2 linked regions of the Drosophila melanogaster genome follow. The protein of the gene in region 1 purifies or fractionates together with the protein of each later gene. This does not show direct contact. Each region holds a gene or a part of one and is shown on either strand. Other genes may lie near its edges. The genes, in order: CG8611 and Ns2.

Region 1 (11,691 bases):
CCACGCAAAAGTCCGTGAAGAAGGGCAGCGAAGTGTACGGATGCGTGGCCAATGTGGGCCAAATGCGAGACCACCACGCCTCGTTTCTGGCCAAAAAGGACGCGTTCACCTGGTCATCCCCGCGTGGATTTTTGATGTTGTACCCAAAGCGATTGAGGGTTTCGAAGGTCCAGCCGGGTGCAAAGATGCCCGCCGAGAAGCCGTTCTTTGCAATGAGCTCCATGGTCTCCCAACTATGGAAGCCGCCCTTGCGACTTCTTCCGAACACATCCAGGCCCATAAAGACGCGATGCCGGGGCGATTGCTCCCTCCTGACCTGCTGAGCACTCCGCTCCAGATGGCCCTCGTCCCAGGCGTAGTTTATGAGCGTTCCATGGCTGTGCCGGAAAAACTTCGCGTTGCGGGAGTTGAGCTCGTTCTGCCACCGGAGTTGGCCGTCGTCCGTAACGCTGTCGTACCAAAAGACACGACCATGTGGCACACGTGACTCCGTGGCAGCCGTCAGTTGCCGGACAAAGCGGCTGTGGAAAATGGAAACGCCATAAAGGGATTAGCATGAATCGATCTCAAGGTTACAGCCATTACGTTAGGATTAGTTTCGGCGCCAAATTCACTTTATATATCAAGTAAGAATTGCCTGCTTTTCAGATGCTCTTCACTATTATTCCGAATTTTTTAAATTCCATGCGGATGTTATCTTATGTGCAATCGAACTTATGCGTTCCATTGACTTGTGCAAAGTGCAATAAGTCAACTTGATTGTAGTGTGAAAATAGAAAAGCTCGTTTTGCTTTTGACAGTTCATGATAGATTGAATTGCAGAAGCTGTTGATAAATTGGACAGCTGATACAAGGCCAAAGTTTGCTCCTATGGCGAATTGGTTGCAAGAGGCGCTGATACACAGCCATTTTTCATGTAAACACTCGCATTCTAAAACTTTTACTAGCTAACAGCTTGTGTGCGAATTTTAAAGGGGTAACAAGGACCCTTTTTTTTAGGATGCACTGTCCATGAGTACTCACTATAGTCTGGGCATTTTGGCCAGGGGAACAGTCACCTCCACGTTGACCAGCCATCCCTCGAAGCCGAAGTGCTCACAGAGACGGGTTAGAGCCTCCACGGTGCTCTCGACACTCTCTTCGCTGGCCAGAAACTCGTCCAGCCGTGCGGTAGCCTCCACGATGAACGTGCCCACCACCGGAACTCCGTGGCGATGGGCGGCATTCAGCCAACCACAGGGCGGAATGGTCACGTAGTCGTGGCTGAAGTAACAGAAGTAATCCACGGCTGACCAGTGCACGAATCGATAGTCGTCGTACTTCTGGGAGCTGTGAAAGTGCCTGGCAAAACACAAAAAACCATTAAAAAAAACTTTATTTTCGGACCCCTCTGGCTTCCAAGTTTAATGAAACCGCATAGCTTCGCCTGTTTTTGCGGCAGATATTCATTAGTACAACTTCGATTGCATCAAGTGGCTTGAAAATTAGTAAGTTGCAATACATTTGCATTGACCTGACATGGGCTTTTTGTTAGGTAAATTCGTAAAGGGATTGCATCCCAGGTACCCCCTCCTTTTGTTGTTAAACTTCTCAGTTTAAGGACTCACCGATCCTCGAGGTAGTTGCCCATCATGTCGTGGCAGACGAGCAGTTCCCGGCGATTATCCTCGGTCACCTGGCGCCGGGTGCTGCCCACGAAGTCCGCCTGGCGGTCCAGATAGACGGGTGTCGTTCGAACGCTGGTGTCCAGTGGCAGGACGTACTCGCGCCAGTCGATGTTCCGGCTTCGCACCCGAAACTCCAGCAGCTGGCGGTTATCCTTGATAGGCTCCGCCTCCAGTTGGGCTGCAAGGGCGGGGGATATGTAAAGTCCACGTCGTAAAGACATTACTTCTAAGATCTTTGCGCGGATGCGAACCGCTCGAGGGCTCAGTGGACAATGGAGAATGGGACAGCGGTTCGCTACTAGCTAATCTCTAGCTTATGTTTTTATATCTCGAATATTTGTGCCATGAAATGGCAATGGGTTGCCTGAGCCCCACTGGAAAAAAAACAGTTTGCCTAGTTTATAACACTTTGGGTTGTTGAACAGTTCTCTAATTCAAAAACCAGACAAACTAAAACTTGCATGTATTTAAGTACCTTAATAGCGACTTATTTATTGCCTTCAAGGGGTATATGTATTTTATGGAACATTCTTAGCTAATAAATTCTGTAATTCTCCATAATAAAAAGCGTTATACTTTCCATATTCGAATACCCATTAAACGTGAATAAGTGAATTTTATAACCCAATTACCGGCGTTTAGTAGCATTTTTACAACGCTCGTAGAACGAGCTGAATTTCTTTCTTCTGCATTTTCCGCATAAGCACTTAAAGTTTTTCAATTTTCGCATTCGCCACTTGACCCGCTGAATTTGTCACGGTCAAACTAGCGAGCTGGTTATTATTTCCGCCAGATAATTTCAATGGCGATTAAGTGCAGCTGTTATGCAAATTCTTGCTCCAATTAAATAATAGTATCCAGTGTCATGAATAATATAAAAGGTTCAGTTTAGCTGAGATAGTGGGGGAAATTAGATATCTTAACCTAAGAGAGAGTGTGAGAACTCTAAGATACATGCCGTGAGCAATTATCCTGTTATATGCCTCACAATATTAACGAGTAATCTATCTATATTTATACAAATGTATTGCTGCTACTTAAAAGCAAGAGATAGTTGTGGAAATAAGCAATCTTAATGGGATTGTGCAGCAGTTGCTAACCAGAAAGGATTGCCGGTCTATAAATACCCCAGACAGCCATTTAATCATGAGTCGAGGGGTTAGTGTGGGGTTAAGTTAACCCATGCTGGCTGCAGTTGGCGCTTTTCAATTAGCCAACGCCGCCGGGAACGTCAACTGCACTTAATGCGCGGTTAAATAACGGGTGAACGCTTTATTTTCATTACCACGCAGGCAGGAGTTTCCTTTAAAGTTCGCAATTTTCCGGGGGGAAAAGCGAAAACAAATGATTCAGTTATCGCCCTTATCGCTGGCGGTCCAAAAAACTCCCAACTCCCAACTTTTGTGTTGCACGATTTTTGGTACGTGAGCCCTGAAAATGGCATTATATTGGATTGCGATGCGTGGCATAGTATGCCGTTTTTTGGACATGAATTATTCAAGTCGAAAGCCGAGTTAAAGCCACTTCACTAACGGGTTTTCGGTTTGGGCCTGGTCAAAAGCGACCTTCGCACTCATTTCGATTGCAGTTGCAGTTTCTGAATGTGCAGCATGGAAACGGAAGGATGCGCTGCTTCCTGTTGTGTTTGCTGCTGCACTGCGAGAAAATTTAGCCAGTTAGAGGTTTCTTTCAAATGAACCATGGCCACAAGGGCTCATTTCGGTGCGCAGTGCTGTTGTTTTACACCTTGAATTTATTTCTAAGGCTTATGGATGCGGTGCAATTCGTTTTTCTCAGTGTGCTTGGGCGAAACTTTTTGCAACTGCAGCAGATATGGCAGGGAAAAGGACGACAGGCGTGACGTTTTCAAGCAATTTGTGCCTGGGCGTTACTTTAATCTATCACGGATGCCAGGATATGGATTCTGGCCAGGAACAATCCCTGCATACGAAATGATCCAAAAGTCTATTACTATCCTTGGTCAGATAAAAGGGACACGCTTAAAGGATTCATGATGAACAAAGAGTGCTATTGCTTATGTTCGTTCAACTTTAAAGCGAATGATAACTTCGGTAATCTTAGCAAATTTTCTAGTTTTACTGATCTCTAAATCTCTAAAGTACACTATTTATAGAATGACATCTATGTACATACCAAGAAAACGTATTTAACAAACAGAAACATTATCACTACTCAAATTATAGAATGAGTAATAGAGAGCTTTAAAGATAAGGTTGTTATTATGAACTAACAAAAACCCATGTCGCTTACTCTATTCAATTTTTTTTTTACTACTTTAAAAGTAGTAAATAATAGTTGAATATATTTATTTCAATAAAATGAAAGTTCACTTTTCCCTAAAAAACAAATAGTGCAATAGAGACTGATATATGTGTCAGAGAAAGAGATGGACTTACAGCATCTACAGGTGTTCTTGTCTTGGCACTTTTCGCGTTGCACTGTCTCTTTCTCGCATGCTACCTCCTTAAGCTCACCCCCTCCCTCTTCAGTTCTCTTCTTCTTCACGGGAACAACTTCTTCTTCTTCTTCGGTGGTAATGCCGGTGATTTTGTCATTTTCGCTCGCTTTATCATTGTTTTCCATCACTTTGCTGATGCTTGCCAGTTCCTTAGACTCCAAACTATCCATCTTACAATTTCCAACAATTAATTTTGACCTGAAACTCCACAAATAAGCAACAATCAAATCGTCGAAAACTAATATGTTTATTTACTTAAAAACAGCTGACAGCAGTGCTCTTTCTCTTTCTCAGCAGTGATGTAAAACGGGCAGAGCAGTGCTGCAAAACACTACAGCCCGCGCAAATTTGAATGGCACTCAAAACGCGACAAAATATCAACTTCAGCAATGATTTTACTCTAATTTTGTTTTCTCTTCGCTAATTTCAGGTCCTGCTGGCGCCACCGAAAGACCTTGAGAAGCGAAGAGTGCGCCTGCACACATAAATTCCAATTAAACAAGGGCAAAGAAATTGAAGAACAGAAGGAGAAACCCAATAAAATATCCCAACCAGCTGCAATAGCAACAAATAGCCCGTTGAAACTTTGCTGGCCAGCGAGCCAAGTAGCCAAACATAAATAAAGGGCGCGCACATTTATTTATTACTTGACCCGAACTTTTCGCAAAATGCCAGCGGGTCGAGTGGCTGGCAAGGCCGGCTACTCCAATCACTACTACAATGGTGGGTTCTGTATGTGGATTATTCCCCTAACATTGATTTATTGTATGTTATGTTATGTTTTCTCCAGGACGCTCCTATGTGGGCATCAACGAGGAGATCATGTGGGTAAGCATCGGCATGGGCGTGACCATAGTGCTCCTGATCACGATCGCCTTGTGCTACATTGCGCGCGAGAAGTGCCAGAAGAGGCAGCGGGAGTACTACGTGACCGCATAGTTGTTGTACGCGGCCTGCCAAACGACGGAGCAGCAGGGGCATACCCGGGATGAGGTCATGGGCATGGAGGAGGGAGCTGGCAAATCGCAGAGCGCTGTCGGGGTTCCTGAGGCCAGTCCCGGGGGAGTATCACCATCGCCAGCAGGATCACAGGCAGCCGTCACCGTCATGCATTGGTCTGTGGTCGACATCTGTGCCCGCAGCTGGGGCTGACATGCCCACATGGATGTGAAAAACGAAGGAGAGCAGACACCCACGTATGTAAACCACCAGGGCCACCCAGCCGCCAGACCACAGAACCACCAGCCCATTCCACCCAGCACCACCCACCAAAAACCACAATTACTACGGAACCCCATGCGCTTCGCTGCCCAAGGCAGTTGAATGCGTGAAACTATTTTTTTTTTTTTTTGTTGGTCGTCGTCAAATGTCGCGTGCGAAACTCGTTGTAAGCATATTATATTTAGAGAAAGTTACTTTAAAATACAAACATGTTACTGAATTTGCCAAATACGAAATATATTAATATACAATATTAAATATAACGGGCTCTTGTGTTTTGCCAAATTCAACTAAAGATGTTTAAACGATATATTGTGCAATTTGAATTTAGCGCTTATGCTTCTTTTTTTCCTCATCTGGCAGCGCTATGTGCTTTTCTATGGGTAGCACTGGCGCGCTAACAGATGTAACCATACCTTTTCGCTGTGAGTGGCAAACGAAGAAGAAGAGCCACGCACGTTTTATTCAATTCGTTATTATTTACAAAAGTTTCGCGATTCTTCTTTGGTTGCGAGCATCAATTGTGCCAAAATGGTGGAAAATATATCACTGAATGTTACTGTAAAGTCGTCGGCTCGGAAAAATCAACAGGTTAGTGGCTATGTCTATGTTATTCAAGTGGTGTTTATATATTGTATATTTGATTTCAGCAGTCGCCCGCGCTTTCGGTTAAAAAACGTGCACAGAAATCCCAGGATTTCGACTTTCAATTCAATGTGGACAAGCCCAAAGTCAAGGCAATCGTTGTGCGAAGAAGGGCGCCTCCTTCGAAAGTTGAACCTACAAATTCATCAGTTCCCAATACCACGAAATCGCCGACGCCTTCAGTTTCCTCCAGCAAATCCGCAATTTCCACTCTTTCAGCATCCCCCAAAGCAAATGCATCCAACGATGATCTTATGTTCAATGTTAGCCCAACGAAACCACCTGTTAAGAGCGTTTTAGGCGACGATTTCATGCTAAATGTGACCACAAAGCCGGTGGTTGCCCAGAAAGCCAAGCCAAAAATCACACGAGCCGAAAGATTGGGCAAGAAACAGAGGCAGGGCAAGCCACTGACGAAGCTCAGCGAAGAGCAGATCACGCGGGCGCTGAAGAGCAACAAAAAGCCAAAAAATCCAAATCAATTACCCACGCCCGGTGACCTTTTCCGCGCTCAACTGGAGGAGGAGAGGCGGCAAAAGCGTCGTGAAGAGGGAGGAGGGGATCAGGAAGCCAGCGCCGATGAGGAGGATGCGAAGAACAACTCAGGAGGGGGATCTCCGAGGGTAAAACCGAGTTCAGCCGTTAAGGAGTCCAAAAAGTCATCAGATATTGAGGATTCCGGCGAATCCGGCGAAGAATCTGCAACATCCGATGAGGAACCAGATGAATCCAGTGCACAATCTCCTGGACAAGAAAAGGAACCCAAACAAACCGCGAAGAAACCACCGAAAGCCGAGGAAACCTCGTCCACAAACCGTTTTCGCACCAAGAAGATCGGCCTCTTCGACCAAAGCGACGTGGAGGCACTCAAGCAACTGGGCCAAAGAGCGGTGAAGCCCGTCAAGGAGACCATCTTTACAGGCTCTAAAATATCCACGTTGGGACTGCATCCTCATGCTGTAAAGAACTTGGAGGATCTGCTTAGCATTCGAGAGCTAACTAGCGTGCAGCAGAAGACCATTCCCGAAGTTCTCCAGGGCAAGGATGTGCTCGTACGTTCGCAGACGGGCTCGGGAAAGACCCTGGCATATGCTCTACCCTTGGTGGAACTGTTGCAGAAACAGCAGCCACGGATACAGCGAAAGGATGGCGTGCTGGCCCTGGTGATTGTACCCACCAGGGAGCTGGTGATGCAGACATACGAACTCATCCAGAAGCTGGTCAAGCCGTACACATGGATAGTGCCCGGTTCTTTGCTGGGTGGCGAGAGCAGGAAAAGCGAAAAGGCCAGGCTAAGAAAGGGCATCAACATACTGATAGGCACACCTGGTCGTCTGGTGGATCACCTGCTGCACACGGCCTCCTTCAAGCTGACCAAACTGCAGTTCCTCATACTGGACGAAGCAGATCGCCTGCTGGAGCTGGGCTACGAACGCGATGTCAAGCAGTTGGTGGAGGCCATTGACAAGCAGCGTGCGGAGTGCGAGGACAAGGAGCTTCCCCAGCTGCAAAGGATGCTGCTGAGTGCCACTTTGACTTCGCAGGTCCAACAGCTGGCCGGTTTGACCCTCAAGAATCCCCTGTACATAGACAACAGCGACGAGGCGGCGAGTGCGGCGCTGAAGAGCAAGGATGGCTACCAAAAGGAGACCATAGAAGCCTTGCTAGAGGTGGACGACGGACTGGGCGAGTACCAGGAGGATGTGACGGGTGTGCTGAGTATTCCCGAGAACCTGCAGCTCAGCTATGTGGTGGTGCCGCCAAAACTACGTCTGGTGGCACTGTCTTCGCTGCTGGCCAAGGAAGTGGACGCCAGTCCCAAGCAGTTCAAGGCGATTGTGTTCATGAGCACCACGGAGATGGTGAACTTCCATCACGACATGCTCAACGAGGCGTTGACCAGGCGAGTTCTCGACGAGGAGGACGAGCAGGAGAAAGGTGATTCGGATGACGACGGCGACATACCTTTACTGCAGGGTCTGCGCTTCTTCAAGTGAGTTGCTTTGATGTTTTGTAATGAATTGCACCTCCTAAGTGCTTGTTTCTTCCACAGACTACATGGCTCCATGACGCAGACGGAACGGCAGGGCGTTTTTCGTGGCTTCCGCGATTGCGCCAGCTGCGTCCTGCTGGCCACCGATGTGGTGGGTCGTGGCATCGATGTTCCCGACATAAAACTGGTGGTGCAGTACACGCCGCCGCAAACCACCGCCGATTTTGTTCACCGCGTGGGTCGAACGGCTCGAGCGGGCCGAAAGGGCAGAGCCGTGCTCTTCCTGACGCCCAGCGAGGCCCAGTTCGTGCGGCATCTGGAGAAGAAGCGCATCCGCATCCAGCAGGGCGACATGTACGCCTACCTGCAGACCCTGCTGCCCAAGGACGATGAGGCCAGGACGGTGCAGGAGGCGGCCTCCAATCTGCAGCACAAGTTCCAGACGCTGCTCGAGGATGATCGCGAACTACACGACAAGTCCTGCAAAGGTAGGTTCCTCTATTACGGCTGCACTCCTGCTATAATACGTCTTTCACTTGAATTGCTTTTGAAAGCTGTGCATTTCTAATGTATCTGAGTATAGAATGTTTATCTTTTGAGTCGCTTTAACTGATTTTCCCTTCGTTAATGCTGACTGCAATCAATACCAATTAATCGTACCATTACCACAAGCAGGCTGTCGGATTTTTCGTATTCAGAATATACGGAGAACCCCTACGTATCCTGTGGCATTGGACGAGTTCCCATGGCACTTACTTTTCCAATTGCCCCAACTCCGATATCCCTGGACAAACTAGCAATTTAATCCTTTCACCAAAGAACATTAACTTTGTAATTACGATTTTTTACAACACTCGGGTGGCTGAATACAAAAAAGGCACCAAGACAAACACACAAACTCTCGGCTATTTTTCCAATTATAAGTTGGAAGCCCGGGCCACGCCCCCGCTCTTTTGACCGCCCCCAGACGGGCGCAGTTATCATCCACGGGGCAGCGCGCGTTAAAAACACAAAAATTATTTCATATTTGAAGTTAATTTCGATTGCGTGTCAAATGATTCCCCCACTTCCGCTCCGCTCCGTTCTGTTCTGTTCGCTCCTTCGACGACCTCCAACCACCCAACCACCCCGCCCAACACCACCCCCTCTCGACCACCAACCCCCTGGCTGGCCACCACCTTCGTCCGTCATCGCGGCAAGTGACCACCAGCGACTTCTTTCATCGCCCGATCCTTTTTTCTGCCTTCATTTATTTCCCATTTTATTTTATTTGCTTTTCAAAACGCGAGTAGGGGAGCTACCCATTAAAAAGTAGTGAAAAGGGTATATTATATCAAGGGATGTTTTACCCAATCTAATAAGAGTACAATCAAAAACTAAGCTACTGCTTTCACAAATATTTCTTAGATAACAAACTATTTCATTTATTAATCACTGAGAATAGGAGTCCAAGTAGTGACGAATCGCACCAGGAGGGATGTGTCTTTGCACACCTATTTATACGAAATGAAAATCTGCTGTAGTTGTTCGATCATAGCGTGAAAACTATAAGCAGTATGGGACTTAAGACTTATGAAGTTCAAGAGGATAAGCGGTGAATGTAAAAATTTTAAAAATTCAAACTGATGGGGCTGTTTTGTAGAAATGTTGTAACTTTACGTTTACACAGTGCACTGTTCCTAATAATATTTTCACTAGGTATATCCACGTCTGCCAGCTATGCATTTGTCTACCATTCTGCTGAAAATGTAATTGCAGCGTTGAAAAGGCTGGAAAAAAGTTAATTAGATGTTACCAAGGCGCGTTTGAAGGGTTGAGTTGAATCCAGACGATATTTTCCCCATTTTCCTGCGATTGAAACATAAAGGACTCATAAAAGCGAGCGGCAGGCGAGTGGAAACGATTCTAATCGAAAAGAGGCACCCAAAATGAATCATAAATGGGGAAAAGGAACCAAAAAAACCAGGCAATGCGAATGGGGAAGATCCTTTGATGGCTGAGATGGCGACTGCGACTCGAAACAGGAAACGGAAACTGAGCGAAATATCGCAAAACAATGGCAAAACAGCAAGATAAATAAAGGATGAAGGATATATAAATACATTCATACACAGATACATTCATATAGGCGAGAGCGAGAGTCGGTCAAAATGGCAACGCAAATTGCACTTAAGCGCCGAGTCAAGCGTCAAGACAGGAAGCCACTTGGCAAAACTTAAGAGCGGAGCAGCCAAAATGCCCGAAAGAGACGACACTAGGCGGGGCGAAAGAGACAGGGCGATACATCCGGATTCGAAGTGGGCAGGGGAAAGGGTCCTGCTGGAGGATGCAGTTTTCTACTGCTGCTGCTCTGCTGCGTCCAATCAAAAAGCCATTAAAAAGTATTACGCTTGAACAAAACTGTACAAAGCAGCAGATAAAAGGCAGCCAGAGAGGGACGGCAAATGTGGGTGGGTGGTGTACGAAAGAGACGGGCGATGGAGGGACAAACGAGCTGGGAAAGAGAGGGAAGAACATCTGCGACTTGCATTGCATCGGTAATTGAAACAATTTTCAACTTGGAATTCACTTTTTGTCTTCAGACTTCAGGCTTTTTAAAGTTACAGTAGTTCGTGCTACAGTGCGTTTCGCAGATGTAAGACAATGGTAAATGGTAGAGAACAGGGAATGTAAAATGTTCTCCAAAGAAAGAAGATTATATATTCTTCTGACTATACTTAAGTTCTTGCGGATTCTATAATTGAAGACTATTTATTGAGGTCTTCAATCAATGAAAGTAATAATGCGTTTTTAAACCACCTAAAATGTATTGTATATTTCAAAATAACCACATTTCCCGATATATCTCTCTCTCGAAAAACATCTGTTTTTCAAACGCAGGATAATCCGCTGACATGCACGCTGATCCTCATAGTTCCCCTTTGACTTACAATCATTTTTTTGGCGTATTCTATGGCATATTTTCACTGCCTTGGTCCATTGGCCCATTGTTTGCCATTATACCGCTAAATGGAAAGAGTTCTGTTAATGCCTTTCGAAACTAAGCCCCTGATGACCCATAAGTCCCACGCTTTAGGGCGACACCCCCGATTAGTGGGTATCGAGTGAGGAAATCCCATCTAGAACCCTTCGTCTGGGGGTTGCGAAATGGCAATGGTAATAGAATGGCAATGGGTGGACTGAAAAACAATCACAACAATTTGCCACGCCTACACAAACCGCATGGACACGCGCTGAAGAAACCACCACAAAATCCGGAGGAGGAACACCCACACCCACACCCACAGCCAGAGAAGACCAAAAACCACCGAGACAATGGCATAAAAAGCCATTTTGTGTGGCTTCTGCGGTGGATTCCGCACTCTCTCCTCCACCACGAAACTTCTTTCCACGAAATGACATTTATTTTATTCGCCACTTCCGGCTGGCAGACGTCTCTAAACATCCGCTGCCGTCATACTTTTTGTTTGCCTAATGTCTGCCACTTGGCCGTAATCGCATTTGCGGCAATTAAGCCAGAACCAGAAAGCCCAGGGCTTGACTTCGAGACTTTGGTCCTTTGGTGCTTTGGTCCCCAAAAAAGGACACTCGCCACTATGAACTGAACTGAACTGAAAACCGGGATGCAGAGAGCACTGCTGCGAGTTAATTGCCGGGGCAGGAACGTCTTTGCATCCATCTCTGCT
Region 2 (11,988 bases), on another chromosome or scaffold:
GGCGGAGTACCAGTGCCCAAAGTTGATTTGCAGCGATTACCGGAGCTTGATGGCTCCGAACTCGCCGAGCTTGTTAAGCTATACATGGTGGAGAACGAATCCCTGAGGCAGGAGAATAATCATCTGTTCACCGTGCGGGAAACCATTCTTAGGGATCAGGAGATAGTCTGCCGAGAAAACGAGCGCCTGCTTAAGAAGCTGGAGGATGTCAATAAGTAAGTGGGATGCTTTGCATGTTGAATTCGGGTCGGAACGATAGTTTTAAGTCTTGAACTGGTTTTTGATTCCTTCTCCAGGACTGGCTCATTGTTCTCTCCCATTTCTGACTCGTTCTAGGTCGAATCCGAACGGGAATGAGGACAGTGAGCCAAGCCAGAAGGTCCAGCCGAATAAGGAGTGAAATATTACCTATATACATATATCGAATGTTTTCTACTTTTTAACCAGTTTTATGTAAAATGTATTCGTAAATGTTAAAAAAAAACAAGCCAAGAGTGTGACTAGTCATGTAAGGATTTGTAATAAAAGTTTGTTTTTGTTCCTATGAAGCTCGTAGCTTCTCTACATTTTTCATTACAAAGTAAAAACACTATGATTAAATTATGATTTAATGTTTATTAATATTCTTTTACAGAGTCTGTGTGCGTTCCCCATTGATACCAGCACGTCCGGCCATATCCCCAACGACAGGAAAGGAAACACCTGGCACTGAGATCTGGACAAATCCAGAACCGCTCCAATCTCCACCAGGACCAGATTTACCAATAGAGCAGCGGATGTCGGAGAACGCTAATAGACGGACAGATACGGCTCAAAAGCGAATCGATCAGAAAAGAATAGCCAAGAACATTCTGATTATGGCCAATGCATTCCGGAAACCGGACTCAGACATTACCAAGGAGTTGAACCTGAATCCGGAGGAGGCGCATGCTAAGCAGTCGACAGAGTTTATGCCAGAGTAAGTTTTTAGAAACATCACCTAATTAATTTTACTCATAATTTCATTTTTATTTCCAGCATGCTCACATAATTAACTTTAAATAAAAACAGTTGTAAACTATATATTTTTGCAATAAATAAAATAAACGGTGTACAAAACATTGATAAAAAAAATCTATAGCCAATAGGACATATATTGATACAATTTATGAAAGCTTATAGTTATTCCAAGATTCAAAAACTGTGAAATCTTTCCCCACACCAACAAGAAGCTTTCACCAACGGCTGGCAAAAGTCGGAAAACTAAAGCACCATTCTCAACGCGGTCACACTTTTTATAAATATTGATTTTTCAGCGCCCCCAATAAAATATTTCATCGAGAAGTAGAGCGCATATTTCTCGCTTACAATATTGGGGAAATCGAAATAAGCACAACTCAAATTGAATCAAATCAATATTACAGCAGTATTAGCATCCCAGCAACCACCATAGGTCTCGCGGAGACAGCCGTCCTGGACATAATGGCTGCTAATTTGCAACAGCAGCGCTCCATCAACTTGCAGCTACGGCGGGAAGTGGAGATGGAGCGTATGCCCGTCTCGGTGGCATGCTCCTTGATGATGAAGTACATGTTGGAGCACGAGGAGGAAGACTGCCTGCTCAGCGGCTTCACACAGAAGGTGAATCCGTTTCGCGAGAAAAGCTCCTGCAGCATCCTGTAGATTCGGATACATCATGATCCGGACCCAATCCTAACAGTATTATCCTATAATGTATACTCAATCACGGCGAAGTTCAGAATCAGTCGTATTACCTATTTGCTGTTCGTTGTAAGTGTGCTGACCTCAATTATGTCTATAAACTAAGTATATACATTGGAAACGGACGAACCGAGAATTTATGGATGTATAAACAAAATACGAGAAACCGTCTTCACCTAAAACGCCTGCATATGTGTGTATGAATATCGTGTATTTTGCTAATCCTGTAGCTCTTTATTGGAGAATTTAGCAAAGCCCCATCCTATATAGATGTTTCCTATTGAGATATTCCTGAAATAAAGTCATGTAACCAGTGATTTTCATGTGAAGGGTATTTGTTTCGATTTACCTGAGGAAGAATTTTCAAAATTTCAGAATGTTCCGGATGAGTGTCTCGCCTTTACCATGGACAATGCGACCAAGCAAGTTCCCATCCGCTAATCCCTACTTTATTTTCTTTGACCACTTTCGGATTAATCTTCAAAAGCGGGACATTTGCCATCTGAAACCGATTTCCTTGGCCAAAATAGCCGGCAGAAAATGGCGAGAAATGACAACCGCCCAAAAATCAGTTTTTGTGCAGATAGCCGAAATAAATCGAGCCAGGCTTAGGGCCCGTGGTCGCCCCAGTGTTCCAGTTGGTAGAGTAAGGCGCTGTCATATTAAAAGAGTTTATAAGGATAGTTCATTTTAGTGGGACTTGGAAAGTTTTTCAACGTTTAACTTAAAATGACACAGAAGCATTAGCAATTCCCGCCACTAGTTCAAATTTTCACGAGCCACTACCAACACTTCTATATCATCGCACAGCTGCTAATTCGACGTTCACCACACTGGCAATAGTTGTGGTCTGTAAAAAAGAGCAATTTTACGAAAGTACAGCATGAGTTCGGGCTTTGTGACTGAAGCTGAGGCGACCGAGCAAAGGCAGAGACGTCAGGAGGAATGGGAGCGTGTACGCCAGCCGGAGGATCCACTAGAACGACCTGAGGAACCCTACGATGGGCGCTCACTTTATGAACGCCTCAAACAAAATAAGGACAAGAAGGACATGGAGTTCGAGGAAGCCCACAAGCTGAGTAAGACTATGCCATAAACAATGCAATCTGGCCATCCTAACATGCGTAATATACGTATAGAAAACCTCATCCGTGGTCTGGACGATGATGAGGTGCAGTTTCTGGAATTGGTCGATGCCCATAAAATACACGCGGAGCGCCAGCAAATGCGCGACGAGGAGCTAGAACTAAAGGATTTTCGCAATCGTGTGGAAAAGCTGCAGGAGGAGAGTGTAGACAAGGTGGGTAAAGTTACAGCAACAATCAATTGATTTTACAATCACCCGAACTTCCGCAACCCTCAGAAACTGCAAGCTGAACTAAAAACCACAGCGAAGTCCGCGGGAGCTTCGGTCGGGCGTAGCACTCAGAAGACGCTGCTCGGCCAGGGCATCAAGAGAAAAAACGGCGAACTGCCCACCACCAGTAAAGTAGCCAAAATCACTGAGAATGAGGTCGAACAGACAGCGACAAATGAAGCAACCAAGGACCCTGCTGATAAGACAACGAACACCACATTAATTACAAACAAATACAACCAGGGGGCCCTAAAGTGCATCGCTATACTTCCGGGCATCGGCTCCTACACGGAGTCTAGTGACTCGGAGGCCAGCACCGATGAGGAGGAACCCAGTATGTGCAGCCGAACCGACTTATGTGGCCGCAAAATTCCCAAGAAGAAGCAGTGCTCAGAGTAGGATCAACTTTTTATTTGGATTCTTAAAGTGTAGTTTTTCCTTGCAAGAAAATATAGCCTAGAGTGTAAACGTAATATTTTACGCGTCCTTCTTTTTGTTTCTATTGCGATTCTTAACATTTGTCGTCTCGTAAAAGTTGCTGCCAATCTTCTTGCGTTTCTGACTGCGCTCCAGGGAGCGTTTTTGCTTTGCAGTCAACCGAGGAGCCTTTGAAGTGCTGGGTCCATCGTCGTCAGAGCTGCCAGCACCATCCGAATCACCAGGTTGTATTTTGGCCACTCGGAATTTACCAGACGATGTGATGGCCAGCTGTTGTGGCTTCTTTGACTTGGCCTTCTTGTGCACAACGCGTTGCAAGTCCTCATTGTACTCGTCCTCCGAGTAAAACTCGTCCGCTCCATCGCTAGACTCCTCGTCCTCTTCACCGAGGTTGTGGATGCGAGCCTTTTTCTTTGCCGCACGCTCGGCCTTCTGTTGCTCTAAAAGCTCTAGATCTATGTGATCAAGATCCTTCACATCTTCCTGCTCATACTCAAGACCCACGCGTATTTTTCGAAAATCTTGGATCTGCTTAAACTCGCGCGCCTTCTTTACAGACTCACTGACGAATGTAGGTGCCTCGGATTTAGCATCTTCGTTGGGATCCTCTGCAACTACTTCCTCCTCCTTACCCTCCTGGGATTTGGGAACTGCGAATCCTTCGGGTGGAACGTAGAAAGGAAGTTTGCCTCGTTGCCAATCGTTAAGCACCATACGGGCTGTTACCGTAACGTCCGGTTCACCGCCTTTTAGCAACTTGCCGGTCTTTTGAGCCAACTGTTCTAAAAAGTGCGTGGATGTGTTCCAGTGTTCAATTTTGTAGTTCTTTGAAATGTACTCCGGACGCACGCGTTTCAGCAGAGAGTCTACGTAATCTTCAGGATTTGTGACGAGCTCCACCCGCACCACACCCTTCAACACTTTCTCGGTGTCAGTCTCCGCGGTGGGATACACCACGCCAGGACAATCGATCAAGAAGATGCGTTTCATTAGCGTTATATACTGCCATACTTTCGTCTCCCCCGCAATTGGTGCTACCTTGCAAACCTTTTTTGATCGTAGCGCATTAATAACAGAAGATTTACCCACGTTGGGATACCCAATGAAGCCCACGCTGATCTGTTTTTTGTCCAAATGCAGTTTGCCCAACTGACGGAATAGATTGATGAGCGCACCTATAAAAATAATTGATTTTTATGACAAATAATTGATATTTTTACTTTATAAACTTACCTTTTCCAAAAGGATGTTGTAGGGAGGCATGGAAGGCAATAGTAGGATATTCGGCACTAAGAATAGCCACCCAACGCTGCGTTACCCACACCGGTACCAGATCAACCTTGTTCAGAATGAAAAATAGATGTTTGTGCGGTTTTTCCTTGCGCAAGAACTCCTCAATGTACTTCGAGCGCGTGCCCATGGGATCGCGGGCATCAAGAACCTGAAGCAGCACATCGGACGCATCGACCACCTTGTGCAACTCGTTCCAGATGCGTTTACTCTGCCCCGCACCGAACACCCAATCACGGACGGCCTTCTTTTCGCCAGTATCCTCGCGGATTAGATCTAAATCCTTAGCTGAATCGTACTTATCGGCCTGGTCATCGGCCGCCTTGCTTAAATCTTCCAGATCGCGAACCTTTAGGCTGACGCGCTTGCGCTGCTTTTTGGGCCCAAAGGTACTGTCGAAGCTCTCGGTGTCCAGCAAATGAACCCTTTTGTATTTTGCTGCCTCGTTCAGTAAAGTTACCGGTAACTGGGATGGCTTCATGATCACCTGGTAGGGATCCTTGACAGCCTTGCCAATCTCATCCTGGAACTTTTGCAAAGCAGTTTGCGAGATAACGCGGGAATTGCTAAACCACTTGGGCGTAGGCTCAACTCGAGCCATTGTTCCAGCAGGCAGGCGCCCCTAAAATAAAGCACATTTCCAGGATTAGTATGAATTATTAAATGGGTTGTGGAAAACATATTCGGCATTTTCTCTCTTGTATTTAATTTTTTCTTTTATATATTTACAACAAGAATGAAAACATAAGATTTGTAATTAAATTATTATACGGATAATAAGTCGTAACAAAATATACTTATGAAATCTTTTTATCTTTTAATGCTTTTAATTTTGAGTCGATCGTTTTAATTGCACCTTTGTGAAGTAGATGATAATTTTGAAAACTAAACAATGGTTATTGGATATTCATGTTGCAATAAATCCTTCCTATGTCTATAAGTGATGGTAAATCTTATGAATCCAAAGATAAGAATTATCGAAGATACATGTTGTAAAGCTAAATCTCACCTGGAAGGGGGCGGGCGTGAGGATCTTTCCAGTGCGATCGCGCTTGGCCTTGAAGTTACGGTACATCTGAAGCCGCTTGATGGTGCCCTTAGTGCGGGGGTGGGCGACTCCCTTGAGACCGCTTTTGGGGCGCTCCGGATTCATGGAGTGGTTTGAGTGGTTGAATCCCTGCGTCCGGGGCTTACCCGGGGTGCTGCGTACCTTTGGCATGGTGTCTCAAGAATGTCGTGTGCCTTGTTTATAAATCAAATCGTATATTTGAACACGATCAAACCAAACCACACGTGTTTTTATATGAAATAAAAAAACAAAGGGATCGTGCGTTTTTCAGCACTGTCTGGACTTAGTATCCAACACTAAAATGCGCTTCAGAAAATATCGACTACGAGGACTGGCCACACTAAAATCCCAACAGTAATAAACACCAGTTTGGGTACAACTTAACAATTATTTGCATTTATTAAATGCAACTATAACCGGGGCACATGTGGTATTTAAATAATTTTTTGCAAATTTAGTGAATTTAAAAAACATGTAGTACTCTCTTAGCTTCTTTCTTTTTGGTTAAATGTTATGGAACTACTATTCCTATTGGGCATATACTTATGACCATCACTGTGTTCAAGTATCAAGCTGGTTTTATATCCGTGTGCCTATGTACATTTGTATCCGCTTGGCCACGAGCTTTGGCTGCACTTGGCAAACTTAATAAATTAAACATTGAATCCTGCCTATTGCAACGATAATATAATCTGATTTAGTGCATTAAGAACGACAAGTAGCGATTATAATAGTAGATTTTAGCATTTGAGCTAAATTTATTTCCCAACCGCGTCTTGGGATTGCGTATGCGTGAGCCAGTACCTGCATGTGTGTGTGTTTTGGAATGTGGCCCTGCACGAAATTCAAATAGTGACCATCCTTGAGATTTTGCATACTGGCAAGATGGACGAGCACACGTTAAACGACCTGTTGGAGTGCTCCGTGTGTCTTGAGCGACTGGACACCACATCGAAGGTGCTGCCATGCCAGCACACCTTCTGCCGCAAATGCTTGCAGGTGAGTAATTGTTGTGGGTTTGCTACATATATATCATATAACCGAATGATTTCATCATTCTATGCCAGGACATTGTGGCCAGTCAGCACAAGTTGCGATGCCCGGAGTGCCGCATCCTGGTCTCTTGCAAAATTGATGAGCTGCCTCCAAACGTCTTGCTGATGCGAATCTTAGAAGGTAACAGCTAACGCCCACACCAACCTAAACTGGCACAGCACAACAGCCTACGCTCAAAATCAAAGAATGGTTGACTTTATGAGTGCGGCAAAGTGGCTTTGGCAATTGAATATGGCGTTTACCTGGTCTTTACCTACCTTTAAACACCCTTTCTTTAATTCTCACAGGCATGAAACAAAATGCAGCAGCTGGCAAAGGAGAAGAAAAGGGAGAGGAGACTGAAACACAGCCGGAAAGGGCCAAACCTCAGCCGCCAGCGGAATCAGTGGCCCCGCCTGACAACCAACTACTCCAGCTGCAGTCACATCAGCAATCTCATCAGCCGGCTCGTCACAAGCAACGTCGATTTCTACTCCCCCACGCCTATGCCCTCTTTGACTTCGCCTCCGGTGAAGCCACCGATCTAAAGTTCAAGAAAGGGGATCTGATACTGATCAAGCATCGCATCGACAACAACTGGTTTGTGGGTCAAGCGAATGGTCAGGAGGGCACATTTCCCATCAACTACGTCAAGGTATCGGTTCCGCTGCCCATGCCGCAGTGCATTGCCATGTATGACTTTAAGATGGGGCCCAACGACGAGGAGGGATGCCTCGAATTTAAGAAAAGCACTGTAATACAGGTAATGCGCCGAGTTGATCATAATTGGGCAGAAGGACGAATTGGCCAGACCATCGGAATCTTTCCAATAGCATTCGTTGAGCTGAATGCAGCGGCCAAAAAGCTGTTGGACAGCGGGCTACACACCCATCCATTCTGCCATCCACCGAAGCAACAGGGGCAGCGGGCCCTTCCTCCGGTTCCAGTTATTGATCCCACGGTGGTCACGGAATCCAGTTCGGGATCCTCCAATTCCACGCCGGGCAGCAGCAATTCAAGCTCCACATCCAGCTCGAATAACTGCAGTCCGAATCACCAAATCTCACTGCCGAATACCCCCCAACATGTAGTAGCTTCCGGATCGGCGTCTGTTCGTTTCCGTGACAAGGGAGCAAAGGAGAAACGCCACTCACTAAATGCTTTGCTGGGAGGAGGAGCTCCATTAAGTCTGCTGCAGACCAACCGCCATTCGGCTGAAATTCTTAGCCTGCCCCATGAACTAAGCCGCTTGGAAGTTTCCAGCTCAACAGCTCTAAAACCCACGTCAGCCCCACAGACATCGCGTGTACTTAAGACCACTGTTCAGCAGCAGATGCAACCGAATTTACCCTGGGGATACTTAGCCCTGTTCCCATACAAACCACGCCAAACGGATGAGCTGGAATTAAAAAAGGGTTGTGTTTACATTGTGACCGAACGATGTGTGGACGGTTGGTTCAAGGGAAAAAACTGGTTGGACATCACTGGAGTGTTCCCGGGCAACTACCTGACGCCCCTGCGCGCCCGCGACCAGCAGCAGTTAATGCATCAATGGAAATATGTTCCCCAAAATGCAGACGCCCAGATGGCACAAGTACAGCAGCATCCAGTTGCACCAGATGTGCGACTCAACAACATGCTGTCCATGCAACCGCCTGATTTGCCACCTCGTCAGCAGCAGGCTACCGCCACGACCACCAGTTGCTCTGTGTGGTCGAAACCAGTGGAGGCGCTGTTCAGCAGAAAATCGGAGCCCAAGCCTGAAACTGCCACAGCTTCGACTACGAGCAGCAGTTCCTCTGGAGCAGTGGGACTTATGAGGAGATTAACTCACATGAAAACACGCTCCAAATCTCCGGGAGCGTCCTTGCAGCAAGTTCCGAAAGAAGCTATTAGCACAAATGTGGAATTTACAACAAACCCATCAGCTAAATTGCATCCAGTACATGTAAGGTTAGATCCGCAATAATAAGTTATCTTTATAGACCAGAATAAAAGTTTAATTGTTTTGTCTCTTCAGATCCGGCTCGTGCCCCAGTCAGCTGCAGCACAGTCAACCGCTCAATGAAACTCCAGCAGCCAAGACAGCGGCACAACAACAGCAGTTCCTACCCAAGCAGCTGCCTTCCGCTTCTACGAACAGCGTTTCGTACGGATCGCAACGCGTGAAAGGAAGCAAGGAACGTCCTCACTTGATTTGGTTCGTTAGGCTTAATTTGAATGCTTTAACTTTTAACTGACTCTTGGATTTTGATTCAGCGCGAGACAATCATTAGATGCAGCTACATTTCGCAGTATGTACAACAATGCCGCGTCGCCGCCGCCACCTACTACTTCCGTGGCCCCAGCTGTCTACGCCGGCGGTCAGCAACAGGTGATTCCTGGAGGTGGAGCGCAATCCCAGTTGCATGCCAATATGATTATTGCACCCAGCCATCGGAAGTCGCACAGCCTAGATGCGAGTCATGTGCTGAGTCCCAGCAGCAATATGATCACGGAGGCGGCCATTAAGGCCAGCGCCACCACTAAGTCTCCTTACTGCACGAGGGAAAGGTGGGTTTTGCAATACATTATTGTGAGCTTAGAGATTTACTAATGCAACCTTTTATCGTAGTCGATTCCGCTGCATTGTGCCGTATCCACCAAACAGTGACATTGAACTAGAGCTACATTTGGGCGACATTATCTACGTCCAGCGGAAGCAGAAGAACGGCTGGTATAAGGGCACCCATGCCCGTACCCACAAAACCGGGCTGTTCCCCGCCTCCTTTGTTGAACCGGATTGTTAGGAAAGTTATGGTTCAAACTAGAATTTATTAAGCGAAATTCCAAATTACTTGTCTAAAAGGATTCAATCGTCGGTCTATTCGGGCTTCCAAATACGCAATCTCATATTTCTCTTTTCAAAAAAGAAACCGTTTTGTACTCTTCCAATCGAATGGGCAGCTCGCCGTTGTACTTTTTTATACAATGCTTGATCAAAATAGGCTAGCCATGTAAGACTTAGGGAACAGTTACTTAAGCCTTAGCGATTAGTTAGCTAGAGAAATAATCTAACCGATCCTTGTGCCCTCTACAAAGTTATTTGTAATATACGATACTCAGTAATACCCTTTGGTCGTTTTAACTTATTTTATTCACCAAGCAAAACATCGAGGCTAACTGTGGATTCAACTACGGCAGGCAAGGTTACTCGCTTTTTTCGAACTTGGATCCGTAGATGGGCACGTACTGTAGGACCAGCTTCCAGTCGGTGTAGTAAAGCACGGCCAGGCCAGCAGCTCCTCCGAATCCGGCTCCAGATCGGATGCTACGAATTAAAAGAAACTAGTTTAGTTCTCTGGATGGGGTTATGCAATGTGTGCTTTGGTAGCAGTAAAAGAGCGGGAACACTAATGAATTCATGATGCAGAATCAAGCACGACAGCATATACTTACAAGGAACTCGCTATCTCAGCGTGCTTCTTGCCAAAAGGTATGCGGAAAGCCATTTTTGTTGATTTAATAACTTTTCACACGCACCAAAATGTTCGCAATGAACGCAATAGTTTCAAATGTCCTAAATAATACCACTACAGTGTGACCGTAGGATAGCGTAAAACTTTAAAAGCAAGGTGTGACAACACTGTGCGGCCTACGTGAGAACAACAACTAGTCATCAACAAAAACTAATATTCGCAAAGAACTCATCAAAAATTACGAAATTAAAATGAAAATATCCGTTTTTGGGGAGCTTAACACATTCGAGCTGTTTGTCCTGTCCACTGTGATACCGGCGGTGTTCGTTTTCCTTTGGACTCTGATATCTGGCGATATGAAGGTACGGCAGATAGTGCTTATCAGAATGGTTAATTTTAAGTAATTTTCCCTTTCTGCCCTGAGTTTACAGAACTTCAAGGGCAGCAAATTGGCATACTCAGTTTATACGGCCAAGGATCCCATTAATTGCTATCAAGACTACGAACCAGAGAAGCAAAAGGATACGTAGACTATGTGCCGGGTTGGATTACCAGGGCCCACCATCTTTTATACTTTTATTGCATATATGTATGTATGCAAATTGTGTGATGAATAGAAGAGGGTTTTTGAAAAAAGACAATAAACCTTTGTGGGCTGCATTTCATATTTTGTTTTTTCTTTGTAGCTTTCGGCAATTTTCATATATTTGGAAATATTTTAAAAGTAAACAAAAACTTAATTGCAATATGAATCATATTTTGAACCACCTGGTCACACCCACCCCTTGTTGGTATTTTCGCGTTTGTAGCGAACCTTCTCACTGAAGTGAGTCCAGTCAAAGATTTTAAGGTAATTTTTGGCTTTCTAATTGTTTAAACGCTTACTTATCGACGGATATTGCGGGTTTTGATCGTGTCCTGCGCACTTCCTGGTGCCCATACGCACCAGCAATCCGATAGTCCTGAAGTCTGGCCGAAAAACCAAAACAAACAAAGAAGACAACTACGCAGAAGACGAACAAAAACAATGTCGGAAACATACGGTTTGTCAGCACACATTTAATTAATTAATGCATTTTACTAATTAATATCGGTGCTCGGCGCTCACCTAGATTACCTGTTCAAGTTCCTGATAATTGGCAGTGCTGGCAGCGGTAAGAGTTGTCTGTTGCATCACTTCATCGAGAGCAAGTGTAAGTTTGGTGGTAGCCTGAAAATGGTACACGCCTAATGCATTTTATACATTTTGATGTACCATCAAAGTCAAAGACGACAGTTCGCACACCATCGGAGTGGAGTTCGGCTCGCGGATTGTGAACGTGGGCGGCAAGTCGGTAAAGCTACAGATATGGGACACAGCCGGTCAGGAGAGATTCCGATCGGTGACAAGATCGTACTATCGCGGAGCAGCCGGAGCTCTCCTGGTCTACGATGCCACTTCGCGGGACTCTTTCAATGCTTTGACAAACTGGCTGAATGATGCTCGCACTCTGGCCAGCCCAAATATTGTGATCCTTTTGGTGGGCAATAAAAAGGACTTGGAGGAGGCGCGTGATGTGACCTTTCTGGAAGCAAGCACCTTTGCCCAAGAGAACGGTCTGTTTTTTAGGATTCTCCATAAATTTCCTATCGTAATTCTA

What was found.
Region 2: the proteins of CG8611 (region 1) and Ns2 purify together in Drosophila melanogaster (affinity purification with mass spectrometry, with the first as the bait; one large-scale study listed by BioGRID). This does not show direct contact.

Annotation. Positions count from the first base shown.
Region 1 is NC_004354.4:17,416,250-17,427,940, reverse strand, and holds the start of CG8611 (uncharacterized protein), read left to right. Parts: upstream 1-5,795; 5' UTR 5,796-5,898; coding exon 5,899-5,958; intron 5,959-6,017; coding exon 6,018-8,005; intron 8,006-8,065; coding exon 8,066-8,493; intron 8,494-11,691. Other genes in the region: ENGase (Endo-beta-N-acetylglucosaminidase), read right to left, coding at 1-521, 1,024-1,341, 1,608-1,845, 4,085-4,316; CG12994 (uncharacterized protein), read left to right, coding at 4,815-4,869, 4,937-5,085; CG46464 (uncharacterized protein), read left to right, coding at 5,143-5,298. UniProt on the Drosophila melanogaster protein: Probable ATP-dependent RNA helicase.
Region 2 is NT_033778.4:17,562,324-17,574,311, forward strand, and holds Ns2 (nucleostemin 2), read right to left. Parts: upstream 6,134-11,988; 5' UTR 6,006-6,133; coding exon 5,796-6,005; intron 5,409-5,795; coding exon 4,730-5,408; intron 4,672-4,729; coding exon 3,536-4,671; 3' UTR 3,458-3,535; downstream 1-3,457. Other genes in the region: Klp54D (Kinesin-like protein at 54D), read left to right, coding at 1-215, 635-958, 1,018-1,030; CG43324 (uncharacterized protein), read left to right, coding at 1,462-1,662; CG46428 (uncharacterized protein), read left to right, coding at 2,114-2,395; CG14480 (uncharacterized protein), read left to right, coding at 2,585-2,780, 2,841-3,001, 3,065-3,457; POSH (plenty of SH3s), read left to right, coding at 6,741-6,854, 6,923-7,031, 7,199-8,843, 8,911-9,090, 9,150-9,443, 9,505-9,679; UQCR-6.4 (Ubiquinol-cytochrome c reductase 6.4 kDa subunit), read right to left, coding at 10,080-10,200, 10,329-10,381; CG42239 (uncharacterized protein), read left to right, coding at 10,600-10,710, 10,780-10,878; Rab4, read left to right, coding at 11,376-11,391, 11,461-11,541, 11,612-11,944.